Linked DNA regions of Arabidopsis thaliana. The protein of the gene in region 1 interacts with the protein of each later gene in a pairwise test. Each region holds a gene or a part of one and is shown on either strand. Other genes may lie near its edges.

What was found.
Region 2: the proteins of TFL2 (region 1) and PAP1 interact in binary tests that used the Arabidopsis thaliana proteins (3 or more experiments, as listed by UniProt).

Annotation. Positions count from the first base shown.
Region 1 is NC_003076.8:5,826,668-5,831,365, forward strand, and holds TFL2 (uncharacterized protein), read right to left. Parts: upstream 3,094-4,698; 5' UTR 2,871-3,093; coding exon 2,511-2,870; intron 2,198-2,510; coding exon 2,172-2,197; intron 2,092-2,171; coding exon 1,984-2,091; intron 1,872-1,983; coding exon 1,116-1,871; intron 1,034-1,115; coding exon 973-1,033; coding exon of another isoform or gene 955-972; exon of another isoform or gene 885-954; coding exon 837-884; 3' UTR 504-836; downstream 1-503. Other genes in the region: AT5G17680 (disease resistance protein (TIR-NBS-LRR class)), read left to right, coding at 1-486; AT5G17700 (MATE efflux family protein), read right to left, coding at 4,358-4,453, 4,534-4,620.
Region 2 is NC_003074.8:5,611,658-5,616,359, reverse strand, and holds PAP1 (phytochrome-associated protein 1), read left to right. Parts: upstream 1-1,556; 5' UTR 1,557-2,151; coding exon 2,152-2,444; intron 2,445-2,655; coding exon 2,656-2,936; intron 2,937-3,028; coding exon 3,029-3,161; intron 3,162-3,380; coding exon 3,381-3,448; coding exon of another isoform or gene 3,449-3,474; exon of another isoform or gene 3,475-3,524; coding exon 3,525-3,559; 3' UTR 3,560-4,157; downstream 4,158-4,702. UniProt on the Arabidopsis thaliana protein: Aux/IAA proteins are short-lived transcriptional factors that function as repressors of early auxin response genes at low auxin concentrations.

The sequences.
Region 1 (4,698 bases):
CTGAAGATACACTGCTCTTGTATATTAAAAGATGCTGATGCTTGTGAGCTGGTTGTTATGGATGAGGTGTGGTATCCTGATCCAAAAGCTTTCACAAACATGTATTTTGGATCAGATCACCTTCTCTTATTCAGCAGAACCTGCACGTCCATGGAAGCTTACAGCGAAGCCCTGTTTGAATTCTCAGTCGAAAACACAGAAGGAGATTCCTTTAGCCCGCTTGGAGAGGTTAAAAAATGTGCGGTACACCTTATATCACTCAAAGACATGATGCAAGAGTTCTCTAATGACTCTGACAAAATTCAGAGTTCTGATTTGGATCTTCCAAAGGCATTTGATGACGCAAGAATTTTGAAAAGAAGAGCATATGAAACTGAGTTCTTGCATAAGGAACAACTAAATCCCAAGAGGATCAAGTTTCTTCCAGTTCCTTTGGCTCGAGAGCGTCATTCCAAATTACATCAGCGAAATGTCATACGAAAGTAAAAAAAATTACTTGGTTTGCTTGTAAACATAATTATTATATATTGATTGATCACATATATTTTGATAACATCAACATATCATGAACTTGATCTTTGAAGAAGCAAGTACAAGAAAACTTCCGCTATAAGAAGCAAAGGTCCAAGTAACAAGATTTACTATGATAGAGATAGAGAGTGAACACAACGAACCCGAGGAGATAAATTACAATCTGAAACCTCCCGGAGACGCGATACAAAATCCAATTGTCGCTACCTCGACTCTACATGTTGCACTGCTAGAATAAAGAAGCCATCTAATCTTTTCTACCTACAAGGGCTGTGTACAAACAAATTCTTACCATTCCGGATGATTTAAGGCGTTCGATTGTACTTGAGATGTTGCTCATAGAATTCAATCAGCTGGTGTGGGAAAAACAAATTAGAAAAGCTAATAAGAAACTTCCAAATGAGTAAGTGCAGAAAAAAAAAGCTATAAAGATAATCTTACGAGATGAGGATTGTGAGCCTTGAGAAATCTGTTGTCCACCAATGCTTCCTTCCCATCAGACCTATGAGAGTAACCAAATAAGTACAATTGTACAAATATGAAATCAAATTACGAGAAATGACCAAAGAGCTAAAGAGACAAACCTCAGCGCTAAAAAGGTCACCAACACTTCCTGGACATTGTCTGATACAGATGCTGTAAAACTCATTGGTTTAAGTATCTTCGTGATGTCCAACTCCTCAATCTTGGTTTTCTGAGACAAATTACAATTTTCCATCACACCAGGATATTCATTCCCCATCCTTGCAATCCTACCAAAAGAGTCTAATGTAGTCAAATCTGGTGTCAGATTCTGATCTGTAGGTGCTGTGTGGTTGTTACTTGTGGATCCATCTTGTTTGAATCTTTTCACAGAACCAGACTTCCTCCGCTTAGCACCTATGAAACGACTGTTCTTATCAAGCTCCTTAGGATAAACCTTGAGAAGGCCATTGGGTCTTACATTATCACCTTCAGAACCAATGCCTCCTCCTTGAGAACATCCTGCACCGTTACTATTGTTGACTGGTCCTCGTAGCTCGTTAAGTGTTGGATCATATTCTTTCTCATTGTCAATCAAACGAACTTGTCGGGCCATCCCAACACTCCCACTGTTGGCTTCAACTTGGTTGGATACATAAGCATTCTTCGCTTCCACATCTCTATTTAATAGACTCGAACCGCTTAGGTCTAGTGGATCAGGAATGTCAGGAAGGCTAGAGTTGTTGAGAGACGTAGAAGAGTCAGATTTCTCAGTAGCATCATGTGATGTAGATGTTAAACGTTGCTTCTTCTTCATCTGAGAATGAGGACCTGCATATTTGCGCTTCCGTTTCCTACCAGGCTTTCCTGGCTTCAAACTTTGAAACATATGAAACAAGAAAGCAAATCCATACATTAAACCAAGAAAATCCATGAAACAATCAATTCAAAAGTATCACAAAACTTTTATATAAGATTCCATTTACTTACCTTCCCTCAAAGGCATCTATAACATCAGCAATAGACTGGAGATTCTCTAAAGGCTCCCATGTGTTGGCAGTTTCAGGCCATCCGCGCCTTTCACAACCGAGTTTATAACTTATGTCAATGGAAAAACATATGTTTAATCAAGAACAACAAACTTAAAAATGAAACCAAGTAAGATTAGAAAAACTCACCATTTAATTAGATACTGAACCTTGCCCTACAAATACAAAAAAAAAAACAGTACCAAAATGCAGAATCAGAATCATTCAATCAATCAAATCCAAGAAGATATCAAACATTAAAGATCATTTTCTTCCTACAACATATAACAACCACAGAATCAAAACTTTGGTTCGTTATAAACTACTCTGTTACGATGATTACTAACTACTAAAGCAGCCACTTTCTCACACCAATGTGTAACCTACGTTTGATACTTATCTTAAACCTAGAAAACCTAAAACCTCAACTAATTATGGTTAACAAAAACAAACCACATTTGCTGAGTGAAGACGAAAAAAGGAGCTTACTTTTCGAACTCTCTTACGACGAATAGCTTCAATTTCATAAAACCCTTCATCAAGCTTTGGCCTTTCCTCTTGCCCACCTTCTCCTTCTCCTTCTTCATCTTCCTCATCACCTCCATCATCTTCATCCTCGTCCTCTTCTTCTTCTTCATCTCCATCCTCCGTAGGCCTATCATCACCAATCTCGCGAAGAATCGACTCTCCACTTCCACCTCCACCTCCCCCTCCGCCGTCGTCACTGCCAAACCCACCGTCTCCACTAATTTTCCGGCTTTCTCCGACTGTTTCCACCGCCGTCTCCGCCTCACCAGCTTCGTTCAACACCTGGGGTTTCTTCTTAACAGCACCACTTGCCCCTTTCATTTCCTGAGTATTCGAGCCTCCCAAACCTGAAGGAGGAGGGTGAATCAAGGTAATCGCGTTCTCTTCTCTTCTTCTCCTTTTTAGAAATCAAGGATTTTGGAGGAAGAAGATGAAGAAAGATTGAAACTTTTTCTCTATTTCTGAGGTTTTTGTTTTTGCAGGAAGAAGACCTGACCTGACCTCAAAGACCAGTTTTTTCACTTTTTTGGATTCTCTTTTTTTTTTTTTTTTTTAATATCACAATAGGAAAAGTTGAATACAGCAAATTCTTAACGTTTATAATCTAATTAGAAGAGATTATTTCTAATTACTAATATGAAAATAATAAATACTACTGAAGAAAATATGTGAAGGTAAATTAAATCGAAAAATATATTAAACTGAAAACATTTTCTTTAAATTAGAAATAAAAGAACATCGTGCTCTTGCTCCTTTTACAAGGAAATCAACTAGGACATTATTACAACTTAAAAAAAAATCAAAGGAGATTGAAAAATCAGAAAATAAGTCTCATAAACTAAGATTCTCACTCCAAGTCTCCAAGTGCACTGCAAAGGCAGACAACTTAGTTGGATCTCCTAACATCATCATCAATAATTTTCAGCAATATCTCATCCAAACCAACAGAAAAGAAAGTCCTTCTCCAAGATAAACTTCATCGAGATTCAGATTCTTTCATTCCAAAGTATAGTTATCTTGATAGTAACTATGTGATTACTGCTCGAGTTTTAGCCTCAACTTTTGGTGGGCTAAAGTTCTATTTTCTTCAGTTTAGTGTGTTTGTTCTATACTTTGTCCAACCAAAACTTGTTTCTTTGTGATTAGTACTTGTACACTAAATGATGCATGTTTTGATCGCTTTGTTAAATTTGAATTGTTACTATAAAATTTGCAGTTCTTTTTTTGTTTAAACGTTAGAAAAATAATAATTACTATTATTATTTAAAATGGTGATATGAAAGAAGTAAAAAGGAAGAAAAAAAACATTCATTAGGATCGGTTCATAAATAGGGGGAAAAATGGAACGTTTTGACTTCAACATAAATAAATGAGTATTTTATTTGATGGTGAGCTTATGAAAGTTTGTAACGTTTCCTCGAAATATATATGAGAATATTTTTTTTGTAAAAATTCACGATTACAAGCACTCAAACAAATGGAATTTTTTTCCCCACACACAAAATATACATCCATTAAAAAATCAAGAAAGAAGTTAAAATTTCAAACCTCCCACAATTTTTTTTTTGTTTAGAAAGAGTATATCCGAAGAACAAGAGAACAACCTTTTTCTCTGATAAAAGAAAAAGTTCATCCTTCTTAACCTTTTTCAAAGTTATGAGAGTTGCATTAACCTAATAATGCAATCTCAACACCGATACTTCATTCTTAGGGAATGCAAAACACAACCACAATACAACATAAATTATTCTTTCTTTTTTTATAAAGAATTTCTTAAAAGATTTCTTTAAATTAACTTAGTTGTATGTTCACTTTCTCTCTTCATCTCTTGTGGAGATAGTAGTCGATTGTACAGCAGGTAAATTTAGAGTCCACGTTTTCATACGCTCGTTTGTCTTCTTAACCTGTAATTAGATAAAATTATACATTTAATATGACGAATTTTCTAATAAAAATTTTGAGTTATATATTAAAAGTAAATTACCTCCAATTCCCAGTCAGTTTTGTAAATAACATAACACAATATCAACGTTTGGATACCAACTCCAGCCAACATTCCGGACCAGAGTCCCTGCATACAATATCATTTATTCAAGTTAAAATTCTAAAAGTTCTAATGATTGATCATAATGAAGTACTGGATACCAGT
Region 2 (4,702 bases), on another chromosome or scaffold:
ATTGATGATCAACAATTGGGCTCATTTTCAGCGTGATTTTCATGGGCCAGTTATACTAGAGGATCAGTTCAGACCTTATCCATATTTGGATTATTTTTTCTTTTATTCCTCTTTTTATTTTGTTAAAATGATATCAATTTCTTACATATACTCCTTTTTTAGTTCACTAAAAAAATTAGTGAGTGGATAAAAATAATTTTATTTCTTGGTGAAAATTCTAGGAAGAGCATCATTGACACCACCACTATTCTCACTTGCTTTTCTTTATTTCCCTTGATATGACATTCAATTCACGAGTTGTTTTTTTGTTCCTTTTCTCCTGAGTCGGCTACTTTTTTAATCGGATGCTTTGCTTTGTACTCTTTTAATCACAGCCGTCACATTTGCTATATCTCTATTCACTTCTACGGCTTTGATTAAAGCCCAAATTTAAACCTTATCGTACGATCTCAAAATCTTGTGCAACTTCAACATGTGTCCACTGTCTAGTTTGTCTGTGCGGATCTAGTTAGTGCGGTTAAGTTAAACCGGAGAGGTTCAGGTTATGTTAACCATGGTTAAGGTTTTGTCTGACAGTGAGGGAAGAAAGTCACGGAGTTGGGTAAAACGGCGACAAGATATGACTAGAGACACACTCCTTCTTCAATTTCCTAAATTACCCTTCCTTACTTGACCGGAACTCTCACTCGAGATTTTTCTACGTCGGCTTTATCGTAATATCGGTGTCACACGTACGTGGGAGAGACATGTACATTCTTTTCCCCCTCCTGAAAAACCAAATAAAATAGCTTCAATCTTTGGTTGAAAAACTTGAAATATGTTCTTGATTTACGCTGCAAAATTATGTACATTTTTTAAGATCAAAGGACCAACTACAATTGTTTCTGCTAAAGTCTTTTCTTTTGTTATTTTTATCAAAATATGTTGATTTTGTAGATTTGAGAAAAGAAAATTTTTGATTAGGAAAAACAAACAAACAGTTGACTATTTACTTGGTTGGGGAAGCAAATTAAATTATACCATCGTAATCCACACGTACACATTGTTTTTAACTTTTGACAAAATAATTGTTTAGCTACCTAACAAATTGACATATTGTGTGGCAAATTTATAAATAAATAATTACATATATCTCACTGAGACGCCATGCAGATTCGTATGTTTATACAATGCCTCACCCATTTCTTGAATTCTCTCAATTGATCTTCCCATGATGTTCATTTATTATTTGCTTTATGTATATCTTTGTAGAATGGTAGTATTACTATTAAAGTATCAAATTACCATGACGACCTATAGAAAAATGTTTTTAGAAAAGCATAGGGATATGTGTCTTATGGACAGTGGATAAGAGAGTGGTCCTAAAAACAGACCATAAATTATGGGATCTTCCCTTAGTTCCTTTATTGTTATCATATTTTAATTACTCTTATTAGTATTTTTTTAATGGTCAAGTTGTTTATTGGAATTACGCATTTAATTATTTTTCTAATTCGTATACTTGTGAGAAACAGAACAGCACGCTTTGCTTCTTTTACTAGACAAACCCTTAATTAGCGATATTTGAGGCAGAAAAAAAGACAAGGTTGCGTGTGTTTTACTCCACAAAAGAACTCCTAAAACCAAAAACGTTAAAACCCACTTCTTTTTTTTCACAGTATTCTCTTTTCATGTCAAGAACAATTACTGTTTTTCTTGGTATGCAATCTGTAAATTTATTGTAGTTTTCATTTCTACTTTTGGGGTTTAGGAGTAAAAGTGGAGTCACTCTACTTTGCTTTACCTTTTTCTGAGTTTTTTTTTGTTCATACAAATCCAAATTTCCTTTTCTTTGTATTCCTATTTTTTCTCTTCTCGTCCCTTTCAGAATCTTTAGAGAGAGAGAACAACAAATTGAGAAAGAAAAAAAGGTAAGGCTGTGTGAGAGAGAACCCACCAAAGCGTGCACGAGAGAGAGAAAAAAAAAGCTTTGATTTTGTATAAAATCCCACCACTGCTCTCTTACCATACCTTCATTACACATCTCTCTTTCTCTCTCTCGCTCTCAGTTTTGTGGGATTGTTTCTTTAAAAGGGGTTCTTAGGGTTTAGTGAAGCTATAGATTTCAATTTCATACATAGTTAACGTATAGAAGGAATCTTGGGTTGATCAATGGAAGGTTGTCCAAGAAACAGAGAAATCGGTCCAAAACTTCTTGATTTGATTCCACAAGGAAGGAAATGGTACCAAGAAGACAAGAACAACACAGATCAGGAGAAGAAACTTGAGCTAAGGCTTGGACCACCCGGTGGTGATGAAGAAGATCATTCAGCAATCAAGAAGAAGAACACAGAGATAAGAAACATCAAGAAGGAAACAGAAGACAAATCTTTCCACTGTTTTAATGGCAATCACTTCTCTCCTTCCAACAAAACCACTTCTGTTCCTCACATCTCACAGAAAAGGTATAATCTCCTTTTTTTTCCTTCACTGTTATTTTTTCTTACTGCTTTGACAGAGGATATTCTCTTGAACATTAGGGACCCATCTTCTGCAATCTGTGTTTTTTTTTTTACCTTCACATGTTAAAAGTTTCAACATTTACTCTGTTTTGCTCTGTTTTTGTCGTTTGGTATTGACATATGTCTCTTGTTTCTTTTGATATCTGGTTCAAAGAACTGCTCCTGGTCCAGTGGTGGGTTGGCCTCCGGTTCGTTCGTTCAGAAAGAATCTAGCGAGCACAAGCTCTTCAAAGCTAGGTAACGAATCCTCTCATGGAGGTCAAATCAACAAGAGTGATGATGGTGAAAAACAAGTTGAAACCAAGAAGGAAGGAATGTTTGTCAAGATCAACATGGATGGTGTTCCTATTGGTCGTAAAGTTGATCTCAATGCTTACAACAGCTACGAACAGCTCTCTTTTGTCGTTGACAAACTCTTCAGAGGTCTACTCGCAGGTTAAATCTTAATCTCAAATTCTGTTTTTTAGTTCTTTAGGAGTGTTACTTGTGTTTACTGAGTATGATTTGTGTATGTTGTTGGTTTATAGCTCAAAGAGATATCTCTGATGGTCAAGGAGAAGAGAAACCTATCATTGGATTATTAGATGGGAAAGGAGAATTTACTTTAACCTATGAAGACAATGAAGGGGACAAGATGCTTGTTGGGGATGTTCCATGGCAGTAAGAATCTTTTCCCCTTTTGTTCTCTGAATCTGATTCAGTGTTTTGCAGAATTAGATTCTTGATCATATAACAACAAAAGTTCTCAGCTTTTAATCAATAGTAGTAGTAATTCAAATTGATAATTCTTTACCTAAAGAATAGAATTTTGCTTGGAGATTTGTTTATACCTCTTTTTTTGCATACTAACTGATCTTTAATCTTTGTTTTTAAACACAGAATGTTTGTTTCATCTGTGAAGAGACTGCGTGTGATTAAAAGCTCTGAGATTTCATCTGCCTTGACATGTAAGCTTCTGTTCTTATATGTTTAGATGATTTATTAGAGCTATATGATTAAAAGGGTTCCTCTGTATATTTGCAGTTGGATGCAGTAAGCAAGAGAAGATGATGCACTGAAGAGTCTTTTTAGAAACTTTTATTTCAGACAGAGAGTCTCAAAGCTTTATAAATGTACATCTGGTTTTTGTTATATATAAGAGTTAATCATTGGTTTTTTACTTTTTTTTTGGTCCAGAGAAACATTTGATCTGATCTGATATTCCCATGTCTTCAAGACACTAGACGATGAGATTACATAAGCAATCTGTGTTTATAAGCATTTTAATTAATTAAGGAGATAATTAGAACATACTGTAATAATTATCTCATGCATGTCTGCAAAACTCTTTTTGAAAAAAGAAGATGAAATTTTTATTCTCTGTAAAAGCTCTTTTAACTTTTGTTCCTTCCAACTTTGGCTATACCTTTAATCATGTAAAAAGCTGAGAATGAAAGGCCATTATTGTTGTTTTTGTTGTTGTCTTTTTTTTTCTTCTTGTTTTTACTATTTAACCTGAGTATGCATGTATATAAGAAGATAAGATTGGAAGTTGAAAACTCAAAAAAGACTTTTCAGAATGAGATCAGTCCATGTCGTGATAATTTTGGTGGCTATATCATCTCTTTTGTTCTTCTAGGTGCAGAATTTAGCAGCTTTTTATCCTGACTTTTTAAATCATACATACACATTGTAACTTATTGGACAGTGTCTTGGTGGATCGACTAAAACATCACTATAGATATGTTTAATTTAGCACATTGTTTTCGTGATAAATATATTCATACCACAAGCATCACTTGGCCGACTTGTATTCATCTTAAAAATTTTATTCGAAGTTGTCCTTCTCATTACCAGATGAGTGTTGTGGTTAAACAATATAACCATTGAAATTGATGCAGCCAAATAGTTTGATAATAACATTTTTTGGTAGCTAAATAATGGTATATGTTTTAACTTTTAACCAAACCAAAAAAGAAACATTTTCGAAACATATGTAAAGCGATAGCCGCAACATAATGAGTTGGAAAATTCCGTTGTTTCATTTGTTGCAAAATGTCGCACCAGTGCCGGCTCTAGGGGAGTGCTAGAGGAGCAAAAGCACAGGGTCCTCAATTTTTTTTTCAATTTTCTTTAAGGTTTTAGGGTCCAAAAATTACAGAAATTAAAAACCAATATTAACTAAAGTCAGTTTTTATAAATCAGCAAAAGGTCTTCAAAAA